Linked DNA regions of Canis lupus familiaris. The protein of the gene in region 5 interacts with the protein of the main gene of each other region in a pairwise test. Links are inferred from orthologs where the notes say so. Each region holds a gene or a part of one and is shown on either strand. Other genes may lie near its edges. The genes, in order: PNMA2, NECAB2, LDOC1, CCDC102B, BYSL, KRT40 and TRIM27.

Evidence for each region.
Region 1: the proteins of BYSL (region 5) and PNMA2 interact in binary tests that used the Homo sapiens proteins (3 or more experiments, as listed by UniProt). The two-hybrid records come from large-scale screens. The link is inferred for Canis lupus familiaris from reciprocal best matches to the Homo sapiens genes BYSL and PNMA2.
Region 2: the proteins of BYSL (region 5) and NECAB2 interact in binary tests that used the Homo sapiens proteins (3 or more experiments, as listed by UniProt). The two-hybrid records come from large-scale screens. The link is inferred for Canis lupus familiaris from reciprocal best matches to the Homo sapiens genes BYSL and NECAB2.
Region 3: the proteins of BYSL (region 5) and LDOC1 interact in binary tests that used the Homo sapiens proteins (3 or more experiments, as listed by UniProt). The two-hybrid records come from large-scale screens. The link is inferred for Canis lupus familiaris from reciprocal best matches to the Homo sapiens genes BYSL and LDOC1.
Region 4: the proteins of BYSL (region 5) and CCDC102B interact in binary tests that used the Homo sapiens proteins (3 or more experiments, as listed by UniProt). The two-hybrid records come from large-scale screens. The link is inferred for Canis lupus familiaris from reciprocal best matches to the Homo sapiens genes BYSL and CCDC102B.
Region 6: the proteins of BYSL (region 5) and KRT40 interact in binary tests that used the Homo sapiens proteins (3 or more experiments, as listed by UniProt). The two-hybrid records come from large-scale screens. The link is inferred for Canis lupus familiaris from reciprocal best matches to the Homo sapiens genes BYSL and KRT40.
Region 7: the proteins of BYSL (region 5) and TRIM27 interact in binary tests that used the Homo sapiens proteins (3 or more experiments, as listed by UniProt). The two-hybrid records come from large-scale screens. The link is inferred for Canis lupus familiaris from reciprocal best matches to the Homo sapiens genes BYSL and TRIM27.

Annotation. Positions count from the first base shown.
Region 1 is NC_049246.1:31,209,002-31,213,215, reverse strand, and holds the start of PNMA2 (paraneoplastic antigen Ma2), read right to left. Parts: upstream 2,801-4,214; 5' UTR 2,657-2,800; intron 738-2,656; exon of another isoform or gene 702-737; intron 1-701. Other genes in the region: DPYSL2 (dihydropyrimidinase-related protein 2), read left to right, coding at 3,171-3,524.
Region 2 is NC_049226.1:68,811,505-68,814,449, forward strand, and holds the end of NECAB2 (N-terminal EF-hand calcium-binding protein 2), read right to left. Parts: intron 2,308-2,945; exon of another isoform or gene 2,057-2,307; coding exon 1,979-2,056; exon of another isoform or gene 1,931-1,978; intron 1,431-1,930; coding exon 1,339-1,430; intron 1,006-1,338; coding exon 977-1,005; 3' UTR 501-976; downstream 1-500. UniProt on the Homo sapiens protein: May act as a signaling scaffold protein that senses intracellular calcium.
Region 3 is NC_049260.1:112,049,045-112,052,167, forward strand, and holds LDOC1 (protein LDOC1), read left to right. Parts: upstream 1-1,208; 5' UTR 1,209-1,355; coding exon 1,356-1,799; 3' UTR 1,800-2,623; downstream 2,624-3,123. UniProt on the Homo sapiens protein: May have an important role in the development and/or progression of some cancers.
Region 4 is NC_049222.1:9,363,240-9,367,377, forward strand, and holds the start of CCDC102B (coiled-coil domain-containing protein 102B), read right to left. Parts: upstream 2,801-4,138; 5' UTR 2,793-2,800; coding exon 2,725-2,792; intron 1-2,724. UniProt on the Homo sapiens protein: During interphase, forms fibers at the proximal ends of centrioles to maintain centrosome cohesion. During mitosis, dissociates from the centrosome following phosphorylation to allow centrosome separation. Contributes to CROCC/rootletin filament formation.
Region 5 is NC_049233.1:10,772,509-10,776,008, reverse strand, and holds part of BYSL (bystin), read right to left. Parts: intron 1,089-3,500; coding exon 926-1,088; intron 1-925. UniProt on the Homo sapiens protein: Required for processing of 20S pre-rRNA precursor and biogenesis of 40S ribosomal subunits. May be required for trophinin-dependent regulation of cell adhesion during implantation of human embryos.
Region 6 is NC_049230.1:21,658,557-21,662,630, reverse strand, and holds the start of KRT40 (keratin, type I cytoskeletal 40), read right to left. Parts: upstream 2,801-4,074; 5' UTR 2,010-2,800; coding exon 1,563-2,009; intron 1,069-1,562; exon of another isoform or gene 1,066-1,068; coding exon 983-1,065; exon of another isoform or gene 724-982; coding exon 567-723; intron 1-566. UniProt on the Homo sapiens protein: May play a role in late hair differentiation.
Region 7 is NC_049256.1:27,394,762-27,398,261, forward strand, and holds part of TRIM27 (zinc finger protein RFP), read right to left. Parts: intron 1,789-3,500; coding exon 1,766-1,788; intron 176-1,765; coding exon 60-175; intron 1-59. UniProt on the Homo sapiens protein: E3 ubiquitin-protein ligase that mediates ubiquitination of various substrates and thereby plays a role in diffent processes including proliferation, innate immunity, apoptosis, immune response or autophagy.

The DNA.
Region 1 (4,214 bases), on a different chromosome or scaffold from region 5:
AATAATTTAGTATAGGTTTAACAATTTTTTAAAAAATTGGACCAAATAAATCAAACCTGGAATTACAAGTCAATTCCCTTTTGTTATGTCTGGGCAGGCTTTACAAATGCAATGTTTTGTTTTCTTTTTTTTTTTTTTTTTTTTTTTTTTTTTTTGCGATCAATGTTAAAAATGCTTCATAGCATTTAGGCTTGAATGGGTCATTTGAAGAAAAAGAAAAACAGGAAGCCCATCCATGGAGAGTGGTGGAGTCTGGGTAACCTAGAAAGGGAAGAGCTCCTACTGTCTCCCAGTTACAGCTATGGGGTATGTGTTAAGGGGCTACGAATATTCTTCTGTAGGTCTCAAAGATCCCCATCCATCCAAACGGGGTTCATATGCCCCAGACATCAACTTGCAGCTATAGAGGCAGCTGCTCCTGCTGCAGACACATTTTCCAAGTCCTTCTAGAAGGTGCTGAAGGCCTGGGGTGTGCCGGAGGGCCAAGAGAGCAAAATACTGGGTCCCACCTTCAACCAGCAGCCCCAGGGATCTGAGCCCAGTGAGCTTCTCCATGCTGCACTCTCCCTTCAGAGATACGGGGGTAACATTCCTTTCCTTGTGATATTTAAAGGAAATACGAGATGTAAAAAGGCACTGAATGCCCAGGAAGAAACATCTCCAAGGTCTACATAATAACGGCCATGCTGAGGTTAGGCTACCTGTGGGTGGCTGCTTCTTCCAAAGGCAATCTCTACCTGCAATGAAAATATTGGCACATTAAAAAAAAAAAAAAAAAAGTAAAATTTTGTATTTTCTTAGGTAAAGATGGGATAAGTTGGAAAAGGAATCAGATTTTCCGGGCAGCCCGGGTGGCTCAGGTGTTTAGCGCTGCCTTCAGTCCAGGATGTGATCCTGGAAACCAGGGATCGAGTCCCACATGGGGCTCCCTGCATGGAGCCTGCTTCTCCCTCAGCCTGTGTCTCTGCCTCTCTCTCTGTGTGTCTCTCATGAAGAAATAAATAAAATCTTAAAAAAAAAAAAAAGGAATCAGATTTTCAGGTGTCGTTGTTGGCTGGATCATTTAGCTACATAGTGACCTTAGCCAAAGTGCCTCAATCTCTCTAGATCTGTCTCCTGCTCTGGAAATGGGTGATGATAAAAGCACTCCTATCTCGCGTGCCTGCTCTGGGTAGGAAATGATGTAATTCGTGTGGAAGCACTTTATTCAAATGCGAAGCACATCTGGTGCAAAGTCCTGGCCCCTCCACACAAATATTCCTCTCCTTCCTCAGTCTCCCGTTCTCAGCAGGGTCCTCCTTCCCACCTGCCATGGTGGGCTCGTCTTCAAACTGTGACCGGTTGTCCTCCAAATGCAACTCCATTCCCCAAACTGTCCCTCACGATTGGGGGTGGGGGGAGCGTATCCGAACTTAATCCTTGCAGGGGCAAGAGCTGACAATGGGAGTGAATCCTTGGTCACGCTGCCCTGCACGCGGGTCTTGCGGTAAACAGCTTCTCCCAGCCCAAACCCACCCTGGTTACTGAGCATGCCCAGATCTCCGTCTCCAGTCGCCAAAGGATGGGCATCATTTCTGCAGGATTTTGCCACTATGGAAAGAGGGGCGGGGTTGTAATCGGCCAGAGGCAGGGACTGATGCATGGAAAGGACGTGGGGACAGGAACAAGCAATGAAGGACTCTCAGAGACCGCGTTCCCGGCACAAATCTAAATGCCCCTTATCTGCCCGCCAACCCAGTAGCTGTGGCTGGTTTAGCCGCCCGCACACACCCAGCCCCACGCACCCTCGCGTGGCCTCACACCATTCAAGGCACAGTCACAGGCGGCACCCGATCTCCCACCCCATCAGCGGACTCGCGCCCCAGCACTTTACATCCCAGGCACTGGGCTTCGGGCCACCTGGGGGACGCCGCGGCTCTGGCGCAGTGCGCAACGCGGGCGGGGGATCGAGGCGGGGCGCTCCGGGCGCGAGGAAGGGCCGGGGACTTGGGGAATGGGCTTCAGTCTGCGTCTTACCCTCTTTTTTGGCAGGGAAGGTGGAAGATAGCAAATGAAGGCATTCTCCCGGGCCCTTCTTGGTGCAGTGGCGCAGCTACGGCACGCGGAGCCTTCGGGCACGAGAGCAGGTCCCTACCCACTCTTACTACGAGTTGCCGTCCGTGCCAGAATTTGCAGACTGCACTTTTTGCTACACTCCCACAGCCCGCAGGCCTATGTCTTTATCCCCCCCCCCTCCACGCACACACACTGGGCTACGCCCCTCTGTATTTCCCCCCGCCTGGCTGGGCGCCCCCCACCACTGTGGGTGCTGCGAGTGAGGAGAACCTTTGCGTTTCGATCTCTGCGTGGCCCCCCCAGGCCCGTGGCTAACAAGGCTCGGTGTCCCGTGCCTCGTAAGGCCCCCACCTTCCTAAACCGACTGCGCCACCCCTTCCCCATCGTCAGCGCCGCCCCTTCCCCTGCCCGCGGGTGTCCGGGCCTCCCTGGGCTCGCCCCTCTCTGCCCATCCATCAGCTCACACCCCGCGTAAGGGGGAGGGCGCCCTCCCTCGCCCCGGGCCCACCTCTGCAATGCGGTGGGGGTGGGGGACAGGGGCGCGGAGGCCAGGGACTGCGCCCTCGGGTCTCCGCCCCTGCGTGCGCTGCCCCACACTTACCCCGGAGCGGAGAGCGGTCGGCGGGCCCTGCGCTCCGCATCCATTAGCGGGTGGTCTGGCCGCTCCACTTCCGGAGCGCGGGGCTCTCGGCGGCCCGGCCCTGCTCTCCGCTCCCGGGCCCGCGCTCCGCTCCCCGCCCCGCCCCGCCCCTCCCCTCCCGGCGCGCGCCCCGCCCCGCCCCCGCCCGCCCGCGCCTCCCTGCCGCCGCCGCTGCCGGGAAGCTGGCAGCCTCTCCTCCTGCTGCCGCAGCGGCCGCCCTCCCAGACCCAACTTTGCTGCTCGCGGGCGCTGGCGCGGCGGCGGGGGGCGTGGGCAGGGAGGGGAGAAAGCGGGGTCAGAGGGAGGGGCCGGGAGGGGTGGGCCGCTGCTCGCCAGCCCTCCTTCCTTTCTGTACACCTTGCGGTAGGCAGAGAGCGGCAGCCTCGGCGGCAGCCCGGGGGTTTGTGCACAGAGAGGCCGACTTAGGGACCTGCAGACGGACGCACCGCGAGGACCCTCCCTGAGCTCCCGCGCCATGGCCGAGAGGAAGCAGTCCGGGAAGCCGGCAGAGGATGAAGAAGTCCCTGCCTTTTTTAAAAACCTGGGCTCGGGCAGCCCCAAGCCCCGGCAGAAATTCTGTGGCATGTTCTGCCCAGTGGAAGGGTCCTCCGAGAACAAGACCATCGACTTCGACTCGCTGTCTGTGGGCCGGGGCTCGGGGCAGGTGGTGGCTCAGCAGCGGGACGTCGCCCACCTGGGCCCGGACCCGCAGCAGCCGCACCCCCGGCAGGGCCGGCGCGCCGGCGGGGAGCCATCTGTTGAATCGAGCCGGAAGGTGGAGATCCGGCGGGCCTCGGGCAAGGAAGCGCTGCAGAACATCTACGACCAGGTTGGTGTGGGGGTGGGGGTGTTCGAGACGCGGGACCAGAGGCGGGAGTCGCCCCTCCCAGCTCGGTGGAGAACCGAGGATGCCAGCGTGCCCTCCTCCGTCCAGCCTCGCTGGGATATTGCATCCTCGAACCCGCACAGGCACCCCACCCTCCTTGCCCCTCTTCCGTGCAGGGCGCGGAGAGGCTCGGGCTCGGCGATGGGCGGCTGTGCGCCCACAAAGGCTGCCCGCGCCTCCCCGGGCCTGGGAGGTGGGGGGTGCGGGTGAAGGAAGAACCGATCCCGGGTTGGGGGGGGGGTCGTATGGCGATGCAGGGGGGGAGGGTTGAACCGATTCCATTCTTCTTAAACCCTTCTGGGCGGCTTCCGATTGCAGTTGTGGCTGGGTGCCCCACCCTTTTTTGATGCATCTGGGAGCGTGCAGTGGAGGGTTCGCGTGCAGGCCCGGGGGCTCCCCGGGGTTCGGGAGGGGCGGGGGCTTCCACAGCCGCTCCCCGCCGCGCCCTGCGCGCCCTCCCACCGGTACCTTCTCCCGCGCCCTCGGCGCCCGGGTCGGGAGCTCGGAGGCCAGGACCATGGTCAGCGCCTGGGCGGACCGCCTGGGAGGATCCGCTCGCCCTGACTCCTGCTCGCGGCGTGAAACGAGGGAGGCTGTGGAGTCACCCAAGGAACCCGAGACGCTCCAAATAGC
Region 2 (2,945 bases), on a different chromosome or scaffold from region 5:
GGTCTCAGCCCTGACCTCCAGAGGGGCTGGAGGCTAAGTCAGCGCTCTGCAGGGCTGTCCCCGCCCCCTCCCCAGGGGAACCTGATCTCCCAGGCTCTGCAGAGCTTCCTGGCTGGTAGTGCTGTATGGGCGGTCTCTCACTTGCATCCCTACTGGGAGCAAGAAGTGAGGGGCCTGGACTCTCCGAGACCCCTGCATGTCTTCCCTTCACAGATTTTAATCTGTACCCTTTTGTTGCCATAACTCATAGCTGAGCGAAATGGCTCTGCTGCATCCTGGGAGTCCTTGTGACATGAGCCAGAGGAGAACTGCTGGAGACTCCCCGAACTTTGTGACGGGCCTGACCTCAGATTTATCAGCTCCGTGGTGCAGGTAAGGAAACAGGCATTGGGGTGATTTGGTCAGGGTTTCATGGCCAACATGGGGCCCCGTGCACAGTGACGGCTTTACTCCTCCAGTCGCCCTCAACTGGAAAGTCCAAAAGAACAACACCGCACGCGGGCGTTCCCAACCAGAGTGTATTGGTGCCTGCCAAGCATGGCACTGGCTACGTGGGCTCTATTGCCATGTGCAGCTGGGCACAGGCCGAGGTTGGGCACTACAGGGTCTTGGCTCCTACCAGGTAGAGGAAAGTTGACCAGGCCTGTGACGCAGGGGCCAGCAAAGGGGCCGGTCCCGGTGAGGCCAGGGCAGGCTGCAGAGGAGGGGTGGTAAGGGGTAGGGGGAGAGGGTCATGCGTGGCCACTGGGCTGGGGGGCCGGGGGGTGGGGTGCTGTCCTCCGGCTCCAGCCGCTCAGACTGCTCTGCCACTAGGGGTGGGGGTCCGGGGAAGGCTGGGGGAAGGGGCTGCTCCTTCATTTCAAACAGGGAAAATACATTCTTATCTGGAAGTAGATTGAAAAGACCACTTGTGTACCAAAGTTTCTAGAAAAGGGGGCGGGGTTGGCAGGTGGCTCCAAAGGCCTCAGGAAGGCGGTCAGTCACGGCCCACGGTACACCAAACAGCTGGAAAGGGGGGAGAGAAGGTGTTGGAAGGTTGGCCCCTTCTCCTGTCCCATAGTGAGGGGCAGGTCGCACACCTCCCCTCTCCTGCTCCCCTGGAGCTCACTCTCCATCCAGCCCCTGCCCCCTGGGGGGGGCCCTCATGCACATGTTAGGGGAAGGGGTGCCCCCAGAGCCCTGTTGGCTGAGGCTCTGCCATTGCCCTGCAAGCTGCTCTGTTGGTTCAAGGTTGGAGGGCTGCCTGAGGTCTCCAGCCCTCTCCCCTCTCCAGGGTATCAGCCCTTGGCCCTTGCCCCCCCATCTCTAGGACCCTCTGCACCCCCAACTTCCATCTACCTGGCACCAAGATCCTGGAGAGGGCCTCAGGCTGACTCAGCGTGTCCACCTTGACATGCCGGAAGGCCTTGCACACGGGGCTCTGCAGATGCCTGCAACCCAAAATATGGAGGGGTATTTCCGGGGATTGGGGGACAGTGGGGGAGCCTCCAGCACTTGGGCTCAGGTAGGGTCCAAATCCTGTAACCCTGGCCCTACTGAACCCCATGCCAGCCACGCTTGGTACTGAGAGCCAAGGAAGCCAGGCCTCAGGCTGACTGCGGGGGCCTTGTTGCTGCAAGGGCAGGTTGGGGTGGGAGGAACAGCCTGGTTCTTGCCTCTCACCGAGTGCTCTTAATCAGAGACCTTTCTGGAGTTTTATCTTCCCGAGGCCTCAGTTTTCAAATAGGAACAGCCTTAGCCTCTACCTCCTGGGCTGGCCTGGAGCCTGGGTTCAGAGCCCAGCAGGTGCGATGGGGGGCGGGGGTCCATCCCTCCACCTGGAGAAACCTGTCTCCAGCTGCATTTAGGGCCCTGAGACCAGCATTCTGTGGGTGGATGCCCCAGGGATGGGGGCTCACTACTCCCCTGCCCTCCCCGTTCTCCTCTCCAGGGAAGGGGCCTGAGGGACGAGGACACCCGCATCCCCAGCCCTGCTCACCTCCTCCACTCCTCCTCCGTCTCCCAGAACTCGTAGACCACGAAGGTGAAGCCATCCGCCAGCCTCAGGGCCGCGATACTGTAAGAGGAGAGGCTCCAGCTGCAGGGGGCCTGGCTGCCCCCTCACGGCGGGTGCCCCCCATGCTCCACCCCACCAGCCTGGCAGGATGTGGGAGGGCCCCAGCACCGGTGCAGGAGTAACCCAGCCGCCTCCCCCAGGGCCAGGCTCCTCAAATGCTCACTGAATTAAAATATCATTTCATTGTAATTCAAACGTTTTACATTCATTAAAAAACCCTACCTGTAAAAATAAAAGCCTTTTTCCTGCTAGGCTCTCCTCCAGAATTATTTTATTTAATCCTTAAGGCACTCTTGTGAGTTGGAGTTGGCCCAACAGCAGCAGGGGGAGGGCCGTGCCCGGGTCAGTGGGTGGGCAGGCCAGGACCCCCTGTCCCCATCACTCCTGCAGGACCTGGGGAAGCACCCGGCTGCCCACCTCCTTGTAACAGGGCTGATCCCACCTGGGCCAGGGGCTGCCTCCCCGAGTGTGGCGGACCTGGCAGGGAGGCGCTAAGCTGCCACCATCTCTAACCCTGTCCTGATCTGGCCCCTGGCTGCTTTCTCACCGCTCTGCAGAGCAGCACCCCCAGCATCCTTCGAGGAGGAGGAGGAGGATCGCTGTCATGGGTGGCATTCCCCGTATAATTACGGGCGATTCCCGCCCTAACCGCCCAGGGTGGAAGCACAGAACCAGGCTACCAATCGTAGCATTAGCTTATTAGGTTCCAGCCTCAAATGACACGTGGGGCTGTGGGGTCGTCACCGAGAGGACAGGGCACACGTGTCACCCTCCGATCAGATGTAACCCTGCACCAGACATGGATGGCAAGGCTTTAGGTCACCGGAGCAATTTGGTTTGTTGGTACTTGGTTACTGGGAGATGAAAGCCACCACGGGGGCTGCATTTG
Region 3 (3,123 bases), on a different chromosome or scaffold from region 5:
GCTCATGTGATAAAATAGAATGTTTGTAACACATAACTATTATGCAAGTTTCAAAATATCTCTTAAAGTATCTTACTGTCCTGTACTCACCCTTCTTGTGATGACGTGAGATGATAGAATGCGTAGTGATCCGACGCCAGGCTACTGGTTGATCTTCTGGTGCCAGGTCAGAAGGAGGGTCAGCTGATTCCGGATCAAACCACCCTTGGCACGGGTGACTGAAAGCACCGGAGAGCAAAACCGTGGATCAGGAGGGACTCCTGTGTGTACTGCAGGAAGAGAAGAGTGAAAGCTAAGCAGTTGCAGCAGTCTGGGTGGGATAAGGAAGGCTGGATCAGGGTGGTATAGTGGGAGAAGTGACTGATCTGGGGATATATTTTAAAAGCAGAGCCAACAAAATTTCAGCTCTAGGGTCCTGGACTCAACGATTTAAATAATCCAGTTCAAAGTAGAAAGCCCAAAGCATTTAAAAACACAAGTGTTCATTGTTAAGCAACAAACAACATGCGACCGAGGGCCAAGGGGCATTAACAGGACATGAAACAGAGGGTCAAAGAGAGGCGAGAGCCTGCAAATCGTTCTCCAGTGGTGCTTTTGCAGAAGTTTTTATACTTGACTGTTTAGAAAAAAATACTTTTTAAAAAAGGATGTAGGTATACAATATTGTTTCCCAACTAAAGAAAAAAAAACCCCATTTAGATATTGTTTTGTTTTCAAAGAGGAGCCCCAAGGAAGGGTCTTTCGCAACTCCGAAAGGATGCGTGGCTCCCGCGGGGCAGGCCGCAGCGCCAGCAGTTCCCTGGGTGAGTGGGATTTCAATAAGCGAGGACGTGTGTCACCGAAACGCGCAGGTGGAATCTCGTAGCCACAGACCCACCAAGGAGCCCCGCACTGTGTGAGTCGGCTGAGTCCGAGCGTGACCGATCCTTTAAAGTTGAGCAGGTTGGCCCTCTCTGAGCTGGCTTTTGGCGGTCCCGGGGCGCACATCCGGGGCTCTAGCGCGGGAGCCTGCCCTTCCCGGGCGCCGGCCTCGGGAACTCCGGCCGCGGGCCCCCGGCTCCCGCCCGCCCCCTCCCTTGGACCGAGCCCCCGGCCCCGCCCCCGGCCCGCCGGCCCCGCCCCGGCCCCGCCCCCTCGCGGCGCCGGCAGCGCCCTGACCACGCCCCCCGACCCGGGCCGCGCCGGCGCGCCGGCCGCCCGAGTGGCTGTGCGGGCGGAGCTTGCGCAGCAGCCGGACCCCAGCGCGCACCGCCCTCCGCCCCTGGCCACCGTGCGCCTCGGCGGACACGCACTTCCTGCGAGGCCTCCGTGCGCACCTGAGCCGAGCCCAGCCCTGCGCTTGCAAGCCGTTCGCCATGGTGGACGAGCTGGTGCTGCTGCTGCACGCGCTCCTGATGCGGCACCGCGCCCTGAGCATCGAGAACAGCCAGCTCATGGAACAGCTGCGGCTGCTGGTGTGCGAGAGGGCCACCCTGCTGCGCCAGGTACGTCCGCCGAGCTGCCCGGTGCCCTTCCCCGAAACGTTTAGCGGCGAGAGCTCCCGGCTCCCCGAGTTTATCGTGCAGACGGCGTCTTACATGCTCGTCAACGAGAACCGATTCTGCAACGACGCCATGAAGGTGGCATTCCTAATCAGCCTGCTCACCGGGGAAGCCGAGGAGTGGGTGGTGCCCTACATTGAGATGGATAGCCCCATCCTAGGTGATTACCGGGCCTTCCTCGATGAGATGAAACAGTGTTTTGGCTGGGATGACGACGAAGAAGACGACGACGACGACGACGAGGAAGATGATTACTAGGCCGGGAGACCCTCGGGCCCAGGGGGGAGGGCCCTGCACGCCGCCATCCTCTCCCCCGCCTCTCCTGCCCGGCCCGGAGCCGCCCAGCGCCCTTCCGCCCTCCCATCCCCTTCCCTACCCCCAGCTCTCCGGTTCTCTCCGTCATCCCCCTGTAGTGCTTGCCTTTGTTCCGGTTACCTGCTGCTGGGGCCTCGCTCGGAAGCGCGCCGCCACCCACTCTGGCCAGCCCCGGGGCCCTCCCCTGCTGATTTGGACTGTGTCCTGAGCCCCAGCTATAGGGCAGGCCCCTGTTACAAACTGGTCAGACCACGCACAGCCCTGCCCTGCCGACTGCAAGGCCTCCATCTGCCCAGAGACCTACGCTGCCACTTCACCACCGTCCACCACATTCCAGCGACAGAACACAGCCTTTGAAAATAAGGACCAACCTAGAAGATGCCTGAGTTGGCTCTATGTCCTTGGACATTGATTTGGACAGCTCACCAGCCCCTGAAGGGGCCAGTCTTTCAACCTGGTTAGTTCCCTGCCTACTCCCAGGGTCCTCCCCTTCCCCACCAGATTGCTGCAGGGGCCTAGTGCGCCTGGCAGCCAAATTGTTGACATTTCTTTTCTCCTATGCACCAGTTTTGCACAGCTGTCCTTTTTCTTTCCAAACTGCAGCAGTCCCAACAGATGTGTGCATTTGGACAGAAATACTAAAAACAAAACAAACAAACAAAAACAGGCACTCAGCCCAGCTCCTCAATACCACCTGGAAAAAAGCATTTACGTTCTTTTCAATAAATATCAAGCACTACAAAAATAAAGAAAGGAGTGTCTTTTAATGGTTAAGTGCTATCATTGGCCTCTTCCAATCTCACTCTGACTCCCGTTATGCCCCCTGAGGTCAGGGAACTTAGTTCAGTCCCAGTATTCGCCACTGTCATCTCTAGGCTACAGAGGACAACTACCACAGGGTTTTCTAGGAATTCTGGTACTCTCCTCACCAAGGCATTTCTTAAAGCCCTGGCAAAAGGAGTGAGTGTCCTCTGGGGCCTCCAGGGTGGCATGGGTAAGGGGTGGCTGAGCAGGTGGCACACCATCCCAAACTGGGACACTTGAGAGTTAAAGGGGGACACTGTTAATAATTAGACTAGGACAACAGGCATAAATCTGGACACATACAATGTTATTATCTTCTTGAGCCTTTGGATTCCTTACTCAACACTGCCAGAGAAATTCTGTCCCTTAAGTCTTGTTGCCCGCGGGGCGCTGTTGAGTTCAGACTTCAGTTAACTACGTAGCATATTGTTTTAATGCCCCTTTCAGGTGCTTGAACTGACAT
Region 4 (4,138 bases), on a different chromosome or scaffold from region 5:
GGCAGAGACACAGAGGGAAAGCAGGCTCTATTCAGGGAGCCTGACATGGGACTCGATCCCGGGTCTCCAGCATGGCCCTGGGCTGAAGGTGGTGCTAAACCACTGAGGTGCCCCACATTTATTTTTTAAATGTAACTTCAGATTGTAAAGGTTGCTTGAACACTACTTCTGTTGCATAGCTCTACTCTAGAGCAACCCAAAAATTTAAGGATTTTTCTTTTTCATAGAGAATTTTCCAGAAATAGAAAACTTTGTTTTGAATTTTCAAACTTATGTTCAGTGTGTTCTCACAAAATTTCTATCTCTGTCTTACAGAGGCTTCTCACTTATGCATCAAACTAAGATGATTGCTAATAATATTATTTTCAAATATATGTTTGAAAATGCATTCTATTGATAATGTAAATACACATCAGCATCATAGCTATCATTCAAATATAAATGAACAGAACATTTTCATTCTCTGCCACATGGTCACATAATGTAGAAGAGGAGATGCTACAATAGTCACATCAAAATAAAATGGCCATGATTCAAAACACTGGATATGACTGTTCCACGTTCTCATCTGAGAAGTTTAAAAGAAATCCCATTTATTTTAAGCTATTTAGACAGCCTGGCTTTTAGAAAAAAAAAATTAAATATTAAAATAAAGGTAGTTCATGGTTTCTGACCATCATTTGCAAATATAATTTAATCTTTATCCAAAACTTTGGCAATATAATGAACATCGAGAAAAATTATGGGCTTACAATTCGTTAGATGTGAAAAATTCTATGTCTATATCTTATTGTTCCCTGAAGATCCTTCTCTAATACAGTCTGTAAGACCAAGCAAAACATCATTAAAAATAGAGGACAGCAGAGGGGATACAGTCAATAATATCATAATACACTTATCCTGGTGAGCATTTCATTAGGTATAGAATCGCTGAATCACTACGTTGTATACCTGAAACTAGTTTAATATTATATGTCAACTACACTTCAGTTAAACATTTTTAAATAGGTAACTATAGGGGATCCCTGGGTGGTGCAGCAGTTTGGCACCTGCCTTTGGCCCAGGGCGCGATCCTGGAGACCCGGAATCGAATCCCACGTCGGGCTCCCGGTGCATGGAGCCTGCTTCTCCCTCTGCCTATGTCTCTGCCTCTCTCTCTCTCTCTCTCTCTCACTATCATAAATAAATAAAATTTTTTAAAAAGTTAAAAAAAATAAATAAATAGGTAACTATATGAGGCGATGGATGCATTAAAAAAATAAGAAGGTAAGTGGAGGAAATTATGAACAAAATTAGTCTCAGCATGGGAATGGGTACTAAAATTAGTGTCCACTTGTGGATATTTATCTTCTTACCATAATATAATCCACATATAAAACACCATGTTTTTCCATGTATTTTTATAACAGGACTGTTTTCCCATTTAAGTAAATTCAAAGACATTTACTAATAAGAAATAAAATGTATCTAGTAAAACCAAGGGTGGTACTAATTGGTTGTAATGGAACTAAACTTAATTTCATGTCCAAAATATTTTCACATGCAGTATCCTTACAATATTCTCATCTTTCCGTTCCTATCAATTCCAATAGTTCTACCTCATGCACCCACTGGCTGGTATATACCCTAGATACTATTACCATACAGCATTTCTTCCATTTCCATGTTAAGCACCCTTTTGATTACCTTCTGTGGTCCACAAAATTCTCTTCTTTGACCTAACTTGGACCTCCTATTAACTGATCCCATTATCTTTTAACCATTTATTACCTACTTCATATTGATACTCCTTCCCTTTTCCAAGCCCCATTAATTAACAATTTATGCTCAGCTAGATTGGCATTCTCTTAACCTTATTGCCTAGAAAACTCCAATTCTGGTTGGCATTCAACTATCTGCCTGTTCCACATAGGCACCTACCTGAGCATCTGCTAATACTTAGAGAAAACATGGTTTACTTTCAGGTCTCACTTCAATTCTTGATTCTGAATATCACATCAGCCCTTAGCACTGCACAGCCAACCCTACTCCATTTCCCTTATCATTTCACTTTCCCATTCTCCAAAACTCCACCCATCTTCTTCCTTAACTCTTCCATCTTTCTTGATGAAGTTATTCTTTTTTTCCCTCTGTTTCACTTTAAAAAAAAAAAAAGTTATCAAAAGACAACTACCATTCTCTGGCTCTACCACACTTATCAGCCTTGTGGTAACCCTGATCTCAGCCTCTTTCTACATCATCCTTGCCCCTAAAGTCAAACTTTCCATTTGCAGGTTCCATCTGAATCCCCACTAGCTGACTTAAAGACTTAACTCCTACAAATAGAGTTCTCTCTCTCCTTTCTAATAAAATTAAATCTCCCTCCTAAGTCATTCTTATCGGCAAAGGGGACATGCTATAATATCTTCAACCTGAAAAACAAAAATCATCTTGATCTCCATCCAGGGACCATCACATTTCTCTGATATTTTTTATAGTAAAAACCATTAGAAGATATTTTCACTCATCTCACTCTCTCTTGAACTCACTCTACCAGTTTTTAAGCCTAGATCTCTGCAAAAACAGAAAATCAATAACTTCTGTATTGCAAAATCTAATTAACAGTTAACTCCTATTTTCCTTGACCACTCAGTAGCATTTTATATAACTTGGCCATTTCATCTTTCAGCAATGACTCATTTACTTAGCTTCTGAAAGACTCCTCTTTCATGGGTCTCCTCCTACCTCTCTGAATGGTGCTCTTCATTCTGCTCTGGTGGGTCTGCCTCTGATATGGTAGTACTCCAGCACATCTATTTTTTGGGGGGAAGAGGGCTTTAATTCTACAAATTAAAGACAAGGATTATAGGATACCATTTAAAAGCTCTGCAATGAATATGTTTTTTATTCAAAAGGGTACTTCTGTATTCAGCTACCAAAAAAAGTCCTTCTATCAGTTTTTAACAGCAAATATTCTTTTATCTTTTCTACATATAACAGCAACTCATAGTAAATATCATCATATGCAAGTCACTCAGGTATTTAAATATATAAAAATATTAGTAATCTGCAAAGCTATGACCTTAATAGAATGGTATTGAGCACAACCCATCTTCTCTTTGATAGGCTGCTTTCCTCCTATAAGATAACCAGTTTTCTATTTTATAATACTTGATAACAATTGTGCATCAACAGTTGATCAGGGCATTGAGGACCAAACACTGAGGACCAGGTATTGAACATGTAAAAGACTCTCTATAAAATAGAATCTTGGAAAACAGCCTAGATCTGTTTAATTAAAATGAAATGTCCTAACCTAAGGTCAGTGATGAAAGTATTTGAGCTGACAAGTATACTTATTGTTTTCTTAATGATATATTTAAAGGAATGAATCTTTACATTACAACTATCTTCAGCTGTTTGGGCATATGGCAAAAAGGCATTACTCCAGTAAAGCCTATTTAAATGACAATAAACTTCTAAAACAGTAGATCGTACATTTCTAAAATGAGAGCACAGACACTATTATATATATATAGTTATAATATATATTTATAAAATATTCTATTTAGAGAAAAGTTAAATATATTTAAAGTTTAGATATACGAGGAAAAATGTTAAATGGGGCTTATTCTTTTTACTACTGATGTACTGTACTCTGCATTGTCTATTAGCAACATAAATTTTATATATGCTCTTCACCCATTCAAATAAAACTTACATGATAATCATGGGGTCTTTCCATTCATATCACTCATCATAAACAAACAAAAGAACGCCAGTGTGTTCCCAATATCATTTCCAATAACCACATGCGTTTCTCTTATGAATATGTGATATTTGATGAAAATCAGTGATTAAACTTCCTCTGAGAAATCAAAAGACATCTTCTTTGAATACAATGTTCAAGAAAATAAAAGAGAGGAAAGCCTAAGTGTTGAATATGAGAATCGCCAATTTAAGTATAAAAACTGCTTATTTTCAGTATCAATTTCTTCTGTCTATTCCCTAAAGTAAGAGTGGACCACCTGAGAGAATTGTGATTAGCTTGGATTTACGGATGTCGTCTCACTGTCTCTTCCCTGCACGCTATTACCCCAACGCCATCCCAAACCATTCTGCTCAACTTCTGCCAGACTCACATTCCTAAAATACCAGT
Region 5 (3,500 bases):
CCTGCCTTTGGCCCAGGGCGCGATCCTGGAGACCCGGGATCGAATCCCACATCAGGCTCCCGGTGCATGGAGCCTGCTTCTCCCTCTGCCTATGTCTCTGCCTCTCTCTCTTTCTCTCTCTGTGACTATCATAAATAAATAAAAATTAAAAAAAAATAAAATAAAAAAATAAAAGCCTAAGAACTAAGAAGAGTATCATATAAATATCACAGGGTCAGTATGAACTAGTTGAAGGTCTTTATTCTAGACCTCCCTCCCCTGGATCAGAATCTACCAGCTTAAAGAGTTTGCGTGTAGGAGCTTCAATGCCCACCTGTTTGGAGCTGCCATTTAGGATACAGGGCAATAAACTGTGCTCCTAAACAAGGGTGAGTCTGCCCATCAGGGAACATTTGGCGATACCTGGAGACATTTTTTGGTTATCAAGATTGGGGAAAAAGGTCACTACTGGTGGCTAGTGAGAAGTTAGGTATGCTGCCAAATACCTCTCACTGCACAGGACAGACTCGACAAAAAAGAGTTTTATCCAGCTCAAAGTGCCAGTAGTGCTGAGGATGAGAAACCCTAGCTGATATGAAGCTGAGAGTGTGAAAGAGATCTGGCCAAGGAAATCGAACTTAGCACTGAGAAAACTGAGCATAACAAAACCAAATGGAATAGGATGGATCGCCCTGAGGCATCATGAAAAAAGACCCTGTAGCTGTTTCCCCAGCCAGTCTGAGCAGTTCTATAACAAGTGGACAGGTGGGCAGGAAGTTGGGGTCATTCTGAGGAGGGGCCAGTTTTGCCAAGTTGGTTCCCCACAATCAGCTATGCTCAGGGCCCTTCCCAAAGGCAGGGAACCAAAACTGGCAGGGCATGTGCCTCCTTATAGAAAACTGCACCCGGACCTGACATCCCAATCCCTAGGCCATGCTAGCCCTACCTGGCAGGAGGGTTCTTGTTCATGAACATCTCAATGGCCCGCTCATCCTCAGCATCCACAACAACTTCTGTGTGATGGCCTGCCCCCGTCATTGTGGCAGCCTTCTCCAGGGTGGGCCAATCCTCATCCTCGTCATCTGATCCGTCCTGCGGGACTCCTGGACCTAGAAGAGAGGATAAAACAGATGAGCAAGGCAGGGAGTTGGGGAGGGATGTAGAGGTCAATTCAACTTTACCCATCATGTAAAATACAGACCTCACATGTGCTTATAACAGATAGAGATGGGGGCAGTGGAAGCACGGATGCACCCACTGTCTTCCAGTTCCCAGGGGCTTCCTGGTCCCAATCTTGCTTGAGAGACAAAGTGTACAAATATGAGCCAAGGAGATAGTGATGCCAATGAGTAGTCAATCGTTAACACCCTAGACTCAGTTATATAGCAGGAGCTGTTCTAAACACTGTACCTAATTTTCATAATGCCAACAAGTAGCTACTTCTTTTTTTTTTTTTAATTTTTATTTATTTATGATAGTTACAGAGAGAGAGAGAGGCAGAGACACAGGCAGAGGGAGAAGCAGGCTCCATGCACCGGGAGCCCGATGTGGGATTCGATCCTGGGTCTCCAGGATCGCGCCCTGGGCCAAAGGCAGGCGCCAAACCGCTGCGCCACCCAGGGATCCCAAGTAGCTACTTCTATCCAGTTTCAGGTAGGGACTCCTAAGCATAGGAAAGTTAAGTAACCTGCCTGAGGCAGGTAGTCTGAGTTTAGACTGTACATTCTTCACTTTTTTTTGCTCTATGAACATTGTAGGGCTTCATTAAATGCCAAAATAAAAGGTAAAGGCAGTGTATACCACAGGTACGTAAAAGGTAATAACAACAGAGGATGGTTAGACTCTGGACAGGGAGTACAAGAGCTGGAGGAGTGTGCTCCAGACATGGGTAACAACACTGCCAGGAAGGCTTGGTTACAAGAGCATCTGATAGGCAGTAGCAAGAAATAAGGCTAGATGGTCAAAGTAAAGCCAGATTGTGGAGGGCTTGAGGTCAGGCAATGCAGTTCAGATTTTAATGAACAAACCCCTCTTTTTAAAAAGAACTAACTTATTGGAGATAGACTGTGCATATGTCTGCACTAACAGGACCAAGGGCAGGGGCAGAGGCAGAGGGAAAGGGAGAAGCAGACTCCCTGCTGAGCACAGACCCTGCCATGAGGCAGGAGGCTGGATTCCAGGACCCTGGGATCATGAACTGAGCCAAAGTCAGATGCTTAACGACTGAGCCACCCGGGCACCCCTGGAACAACCCATTTTTATAACTGGTTATTGGAAAGCTATAGGTGGTTGGGCATCTGGGAAGGGATGTAATATCCGAACAGAAAGAAATGTTACACATGAACAGCTCATTAAGAAAAGAGGCAGTGTGTGATAAAAGCTAAATGGGGGAGGGGATGTGCCAGATGTTTTGTGTCTACATGCTAACAAACCCCAAATCTGTGCTTGTAGGTATATTTCCCTTTACTCTAGCTCCCTCCTGTAGAGCACCTCCTGGATGAGCCACAGGCAATTAAAACCTCACCTGTCATCAACTGAACTCACTCTTTTCCTTCTAGGTCTATACTACTCACTGTGTTTCAGATCTAAGTAAATGGCACTACCATCACCAAATACTGAGCCAGAACCTGGTAGGCCTGCCCTCGCCCCCTGCCCACACCCCAATTACACAATCAATTACCATGTCCTATTGAATTCTACCTCAGACTATCTCTCAAATCCTTCATAGTTCTGCCTATGCCTAGATCAGGGGCATTGCTTGCCTGTATTCAACAATCCCCTAACTGGTCTCCATATTCTGCAATAGCCCCCTGCTGTCTTTAGGACAGCTTTAAATCCTAAACATAGCCTCCAAATCTTTTGTAGATTTAACTTCTACCTACCTTACTACTATTAGCCCATTCATTCAGCGAACAATGAGAGCCTATTATATGTGAGGCATTGTTCCAAGTGTTGAAAAAAATTAGTATAAAAGGCAACTTGGGGCACCTGGGTGGTTCAGTGGTTGAGCATCCGCCTTTGGCTCAGGTCGTGATCCCAGGGTCCTGGGACTGAGTCCCATATCAGGTGCCCCTCAGGGGCCTGGTTCTCTCTCTGCCAATGTCTCTGCCTCTCTCTCTAAATAAAATATTTAAAAAATAAGTAAAAGAGAAACCTACAGAGCTTACGTTTGAACAGGAATGATAGATAATAATAAGTATTAAAAGAAGACAAGTGCTATGAAAAAAGAACAGAGTTGAGAAGTCAGGAGTGTAGAAACAGAGGTAAGGTGTATTTCTTTCCCTTTTTTTCTTCAAAAATTTTATTTGGCCGGGGGGTGGGGAGGAAGAGAGAGAGAAATAGAGAGAGAGGGAGAGAAACAAGCAGACTCCCTGCTGAGTGCAGAACCTGACACTGGACTCAACCCCAGGACCCTGAGAATTTCCTTTTTCTTTTTTTTAAGATTATTTATTTGAGAGAGAGCGCATGCATGCGCACACACATGTGCACACACAGAGGGAGAGGAAGAAGCAGCCTCCCCA
Region 6 (4,074 bases), on a different chromosome or scaffold from region 5:
TTATGAAAGTCCTTGGCACATAGGAAGGTCTCAATAAATGCTATTATCATCAACACATGCTCAAAGGGAAAATATACCATTTTACATCATTAAGTTTTTCACTTTTTAGCTTTATCAACATGAGATAGTCATATACTTCGTATTTTATGATTTAGAAAGTTTATAGATGTAGAATATTTTAAAATATTGGTCCAAATATTGCATAAGATGTTATCCCCTTTCTGAAATGGCCTTCATGCCCTGTGTTTATCAGCCTGATTTTTGTAGCTTATGGATTAGAGTTATGTGGCATAAAGCCTCCAAGGAAAGCCATTTGTAAAGTTACCTCCTTCACGAAAGCAATAGCAGGTGAACAATTTGGTCTTTCAAGTGGTACTAGCCAGGGCCCATTTCACATATACACCCAGAGATATGCCAGAGTCATCAGGCTGGACATTAGTGCCTCGAGTAATTTTGTTCCAGCTTTAGCAATATCTGCCCGAGTTTGATTTATATACACAAAACGAAATCTATCAGTTTGACTTTGTCACCTCCACATTCATTCAGCAATTTTACACTTTCCTTACCTCTTTGTGGTTTTTCTTAAGGCAAAGGAGATCTTCCTTCAGAGACTCCACATGGGCCTCCAGATCAGCTTTGCACAGAGTCAGCTCATCCAGGATCCCACGCAGGCCACCAATGTCCGTCTCTATCAGCTGGCGAAGAGACAGTTCAGACTCATACCTTTCACAGCAAAAGAGATACAGATGGTGCTTATTTTGCTAGACACTGTGCAAGATGCTGGGCATGCTGATGAATGACACAACGACTCAAGGAAGCTATATCCCAATTAATGTGAGCTTTGTGAGCATTCTTAGCTTAAAAAAAGCTTATGTAGAGAATATTTGTAGTGTGCACGTGTGTGTGTGTGTGTGTGTGTGTGTGTGAGAGAGAGAGAGAGAGAGACAGCCATGAATTATTTTCAAATTCAAATTTAACTTACTTTGACCTAAAGTCATCAGCAGCCAGTTTGCAGTTGTCAAGTTGCACAGCAAGTCTGGAATTTTCTGCCTTCGTGCATAAGATCTGGTAAGTAAGTTAGTTATATATACTAGAGGGCTCTTTGAAAGAAACTTAAATATTTATTCATTTAACAACTATACCATTATTTATCTTTTAAAAGTCTTTATAAGACAGTATAAAATAGCTTGAAGCCTATTTTTCTTATTAAGCATGTCACTTCAATGAAGAAAAAAGCAGGACCATTCATAAAATAAATATAGAAATAAAAAGGGTCCGTTTTTCAGTGGCCTAAAACATTTTGCAATATTCCTTGGCAGTTGAACTTGGATTTTTCTCCATAGGTAGTTGTGAGTGAGTTTATTTTGGCCATTCAATGATTACTGGCAGCCCCACGGCTCATGCTAATTTTTGCTGAATTTCAGCCCACCACCTTTTCCTCCTGGAGAACCCCTTTCCCTGGGGATGGGGGGAACTTCCATAGAACAGCCTTTTTTTTAGTATAAAGATAAAGCAAATCACAGATTGGGAGGGTGAAGCATTAGGGCAATGAAACACCAGACCTTTTGCTGAAGCTCTTCAATAGTGTCAAAGTAACACTGATAATCAGGGCACACCAGTGGGATATCCTCTTCACATTGTTCTCGAATCCTGCATTCGAGCTCTGCGTTCATCTCTTCCAGGCCACGGACCTTCTCTAGATAGTTGGCAAGTCTGTCATTCAGGAACTGCATCGTCTCCTTCTCATTGCTGTTGAACACCCCATCCTCACACCAAGCACAGTTCCCCACCAAGCAAGGAATATTATAATTCCCAGCAAAGTAGCATGGTGTGAGGCAACTAGTTGGCAAGCGAGACCTGGATAGGAAGCTAGGGGTCTGGCATCTGGATGTAGCAGGGGCACTGGGGAGGCAGGTGGCCTCCATGGAACAGGTTGAAGCAAGTGCACAGTCGGAAGCCTGGGCACAGGATTCAGAAGAGCAGCACGTGGGGAAACAGTCAGAAGTCATCCTATTAGAAGTGAAGAACAAGACTAGTTGCAAAACTCCAATTGACTGGTTCCCAGAGTCTCCATCCCTCCTGAGACTTTTATACAGCCTGCAAATGGGTATTTACAGAACATACCGGATGTTCTGTTTATCACTGTTGGTGCCAGTTTTCATATGAACATTCATTAGTGTTGTTTGTTTTCTGAGGAAGTTTTATGCCTCATAAAAGAGGCATAGCTTCAGGTTACTAAGTAAGGGCAATATTTCCATCTGCCAGTAGGATAAGACGCTTGGTTCAGAGAATCTTCATGAGATGCATTATCTTTTTGGTAGAATACAGAAAGGCAGAGGACATTTGGCACTCAGTAATTGCAGATACAACTGATTACAAATAACAAAAATGATATTATCACAGATTTTGCTCCTGTATTGTAAATTGTTTATCTATCCTTTTAAAATTCATATTACATCTCATTAAATGCCATTTATTTGTTTGTGTACCATCATAAAATGTTCCATGTAGTTAACCATCTTTGCAATGCTTTTTATGGTCTTGTTGTGCTCACATGGTAGAGGAGTGAGGTGTGTACTGGGTTTAAAGTGTGTGTGCACATGCATATGTGTGTGTGTGTGTGTGTGTGTATGAACTACATCTACCTGTGTGCAAATTGAAAAGTCACTTTATAAATAACTGATGGGCATAATCTGTGGCCTGCAGGCCAAAATACAAACTGGTTATCAAGATCTGGAGTTGTGATCTTTGATTTCCTGAAACTTGCTTTCTCTATGTTACCTATGCCTCATTTTTAGATTATGTATACTATTTTCACCTGTATTAATAATAAGAGTGAAATACAATTTCTAAGTTACAATCTTTTAGTTTCTTGGGAAACTAAACCCTCATTGGATACAGTTCAGAATAGGGGCAAGGAAGCTATAAAAGACTTTTCTTCTGAGATAGAATCTGTTTTCTCTTATTTACTTATTTTTTTAAGGTCACAATTTCATAAAAATGTGAAATACTGGCGTTGGGGAATAAAATTTTATAATTTGAGTTCCAGACCAGGAGTTCCATTGGATGAAATCCCTGGTGCAGTACCAAATGGATAGCGATTTGAGACATAACTTTTTTGGATTTTGTTTTGAATTTCATCTCTATTATGTATGTAGCATAATCTCTTTCACTTTCCTTGGCATAATTGTGGTATGTATTTCATTTTCAAAGGTGGGCAGAACAGATTGCCTCTAGAATCTTTAAGATTTTTACTGGAAAAGGCCCACTATTCTGACAAAGTTAAAATTTTCATGATCCAGAAAAAACTAAAAATTTTTTTCTAACTCTGAACACTACTTCCTAGGTAGCTGATGATGGAAAAACCAAAACCAAAAACAAACCAAGAGGTCTTAAATAGATGGACTTAAATAGTCCCTTAGTATGTATTACTCTCCCATCTAAATACTAACCGGGCCTGACCCTGCTTAGCTTCCAAGATCAGATAGGATTGGAACACTTTCAGGGTGGTATGGTTGTAGACTCTTGGGTTTGATTTTAGTGATTCTCTTCACATTTCAACACTTAATGCTAAATGTTCTTTTTTTATCTTTCAAGATTTTATTTAAATTCAAGTTAGTTTACATATAGTGTAGTATTAGTTTCAGGGGTAGAATTTAGAATTTAGTGATTCATCAGTTGCATACAACAACCAGTGCTCATACCATCACTTGCCCTCCTTAATACCCATCACCCAGTTACCTCATCCCCCCACCCACTTCCCCTCCAGCAACCCCCAGTTTGTTACCTATGTTTAAGAGTCTCTTATGGTTTGCCTCCCTCTCTGTCTTTGTCTTATTTTATTTTCCCTCTCCCTTCCCCATGTTCATCTGTTTTGTCTCTTAAATTCCATATGAGTGAAATCATATGGTATTTGTCTTTCTCTGACTGACTTATTTTGCTTAGCATAACACCACCCATGCCATTGTTGCAAATGGCAAGATTTCATTCTTTCTGATGGCTGATTAATATTTCATTATATGTAATGGAATATTATATATATATATATATATATATATATCACATCTTTATCCA
Region 7 (3,500 bases), on a different chromosome or scaffold from region 5:
AAGACAGATATTCAGAGCATGAATGCATTTCCCCTAAGGGATCCCTATCTTCCTGTTACCTGTGAACTGCTTCAGACTTTCCGTCAAGAACAGACATTTTTGTGCAAAAATGTGGATTTTCTCCTGCAGATCTGGAGGTGTGATCCAGGGCTCAGGGATCCGGATTCTTTCAGCTCTAAAAAAAAAAGAAAAAAAAAAAAAAAAAAAGGAGTAAATCCCTCCCCTCCTCTAACCCTATGACTTCAGAAGCCCAGACAAAGTCTGGGTTAAAATGACCAACAATGTTTAAAGCAGCCCCTACAGCCTTTTCCCTCTTCTCTGCCTAGACTGTGATCCTCTGGACAAAAGCAGGAGAAACAGCTTCCTCATCTCCATTCCCCCAACAGGACCTAGCTCATGGATTTTCAAATGGCTTGTCCTCAAAAAGGTTTACTGAATTAAACCGAATAGAAGGCTGACCGTGCCAGAAAGCAAAAGATTCCATGACAAAGTCCTTGAGCTTCATGGTGGGCAACAATCCAGAGGTAAGAACCCTTTTCAGGCAGATTGGCACCCACCCTGTTCAGGGGGTCCATGATCCATGACTGCCAGCTGCCTCCCCAATATCCCATCTCCCAAGTTACACCACGCTCACGGCTGCCCCGTCTAGATGCAACCCTGTGACTGAGCTCTGGCCAGTAAGAGGGAAGGAGTGTCTCATGGCAATCTGCGAAGCCTACTTCAGGGGGAGCGTGCTGTGACGTACTTATCACCCTCATGCTGCCTGGCGTTCCAGCAACCATCCTGGACCGGGACTTCAAGGACAGCAGGAGAGCGGAAAGAAGGAAACTCCCTGCTCCGCCCCTGGCTACCTACCTGCACCTTCCTCACAGGTGGCAATTTCTGAAATTATGTTTCAGCTTTAAGCCAACGAAATTTTTGGTTTCCTATCTCATACAGCCAGACCCCAACATTAATGTCATAAAACGCTGGGCTCTGAAGGGTCTATCTCCCCATGTCAGGCCAGAACTGGACCGGCATCAGTGACTGTAAGGGCAGGGATCACTGGGGCCATCTGGCTGGGACTGGACACGCTCCAATTCATCTCCCTCAAACCCTCGATTTTACCCCAGAATCTCTCCATGTGGCACTCCCAGCCAACCTACTCTATCTATGAGGCCCTGGCCCAGCTCATTTCTCTGGAGGGCTTGTACTGTGCAGTGTTTTAAACAATCTGAAAGTTCAGCTCCTTCTAAGTCAGCCTCTGCCCCTGTAGATGCTGCTGCACCAAACCCCAGCCCATGGGCCCCTGTCTGTCCTGCAAACACAGGTGAACTTTGGCATCTGGCCCGCTCCTCCCCGTCCCCATCAGATCACACAGCCAAGAAGGAATGAGAACAGGAGCCTGTATCAGGTAAGTTAGCACTGATTCTGCAACTCTGAGCCACCCACACTCCTCTTAGGCCATATTTTCCCCATCATACAGTTGGGGAGAGGACTCTGAAACCCTTGCACTTTGGCCAGCTCTGTGTGAGCCTTTGCTCTCCACAGATGTGTCCTCACAAATCACAGGTACTCATTCACCCGCAGTTTGTCAGTAATTCCTGAGTTTACTAAGCAGAACTGTGGTCCATCCAGCTCTCTGCACACCAGTGACTTGGTCCAGAGACGGGCAGGCTGTGTTTCACTCTCGTCAGATGTCCTTCTCTGGCTCCTTTCAGGATTTATGAGTCTAAGGGAAACATCCTCCTGTGTGACTGAGCACTGGAGAGAGAGAACACCGTACCTGCTCAGTGTGTCCCCGATGTCCTACAAGAGAAAGGAAAAGATAACCATGAGACCTTCGTAGCTTCAGTTTTCCTTCAGATGTTGGTTGGAAACCCAGGAACCAGCTGGCCCTCCTACGAAAAGCCAGGGAGACAAGGACCACAACTCAGCCCAGGACCTAGAGTCAGGGTGAGCAAAGTGAGATGCACAGTTTGCACTCCCAGCATCTCCTCTGTCCTGCTTCTGCCCCACTGGCCCAGGATCTCACGATTTCAAATTTCCAAACTCCAGTATCCCACCCTCAGACCACAACTGCCTACTTGTCCAGCTTGCTTTAACTTTTTATTGTGAAATAATTTCAAATACACAGAAAAGCTGCTAGTACAGAGCTCCTGGATACCCCTTCCCAGACTTTCCAGATTTTTTTTTTAAGATTTTATTCATTTATTCGAGAGAGAGAGAGAGAGGCAGAGACACAGGCAGAGGGAGAAGCAGGCTCCATGCAAGGAGCTTGATGTGGGACCTGATCCCGGGACCACACCCTGAGCTGAAGGCAGGCACCAAACCGCCGAGCCACCCAGGGATCCCCAATTTTCCAGATTTTATAACCACATTTATATGCAGAACCATTTGAGAGATCACTATTTACATTCTATGCTGTATCTTTGCCCCGTTAATACTTCTGTGTGTTTTTCCTAAGGATAAGTACATTTTCTCACATAACCACAGTAGTTATTCAATCCAGAATAAGGAACATGGATCTAATGATCAATGATCTAAGAAAACCTTTATCTAACCCAGTCCATACTCTAGTTTAACCAATCACCTTATTTTTTTTAAGATTATATTTATTTATTCATGATAGACGTAGAGAGAGAGAGAGAGAGAGGCAGAGACATAGGCAGAGGGAGAAGCAGGCTCCATGCCAGAAGCCTGACGTGGGACTCAATCCCGGGACTCCAGGACTGCACCCTGGGCCAAAGGCAGGCCCTTAACCAATCACCTTAATAAAGTGATCTTCAGCTACTCTCTTCCCTGCTCGGTAATCCATGACCATTCACCACACTCAGCTATCACCATGCATATCTGGAATGGCTCCTTAGGGCTGATTTGTCTTTTGTGACACTGACACTGGTTTAATATAGGTTGTTTATTCTACAGGATATCATCCTTCCTTTGGAGTTTGTCAGATATTCCCCTCATGATTAAATCCAGGCTGTATCATCTTTAACTGGTGTATGGTATGTTCTTCTTCTTCTTCTTCTTCTTCTTTTTTTTTTTTTTAAGATTTCACTTATTTATTTGAGAGACAGAACGCACAAGCAGGGGGGAGGGGTAGAGGCAGAGGGAGAAGCAGATGCCCCAATGAGCATGGAGCCTGATGCAGGGCTTAATCCCAGGACCCTGATATCAAGACTTGAGCTGAAACAAGAGTCCAATACTTAACCAACTGAGTTACCCAGGCACCCAGTGGTATATCCTTCTAAAGGTACATGATACTCAGTTGCCCCTTACTGGGGCAATTCTTTTTTTTTTTTTTTTTTTATAAGTTTTTTTTTTTTTTAATTTTATTTATTATTCATGATAGTCACAGAGAGAGAGAGAGAGAGAGAGAGAGAGAGAAAGGCAGGCAGAGACACAGGCAGAGGGAGAAGCAGGCTCCATGCAGGGAGCCCGACGTGGGATTCGATCCCGGGTCTCCAGGATCGCACCCTGGGCCAAAGGCAGGCGCTAAACCGCTGCGCCACCTAGGG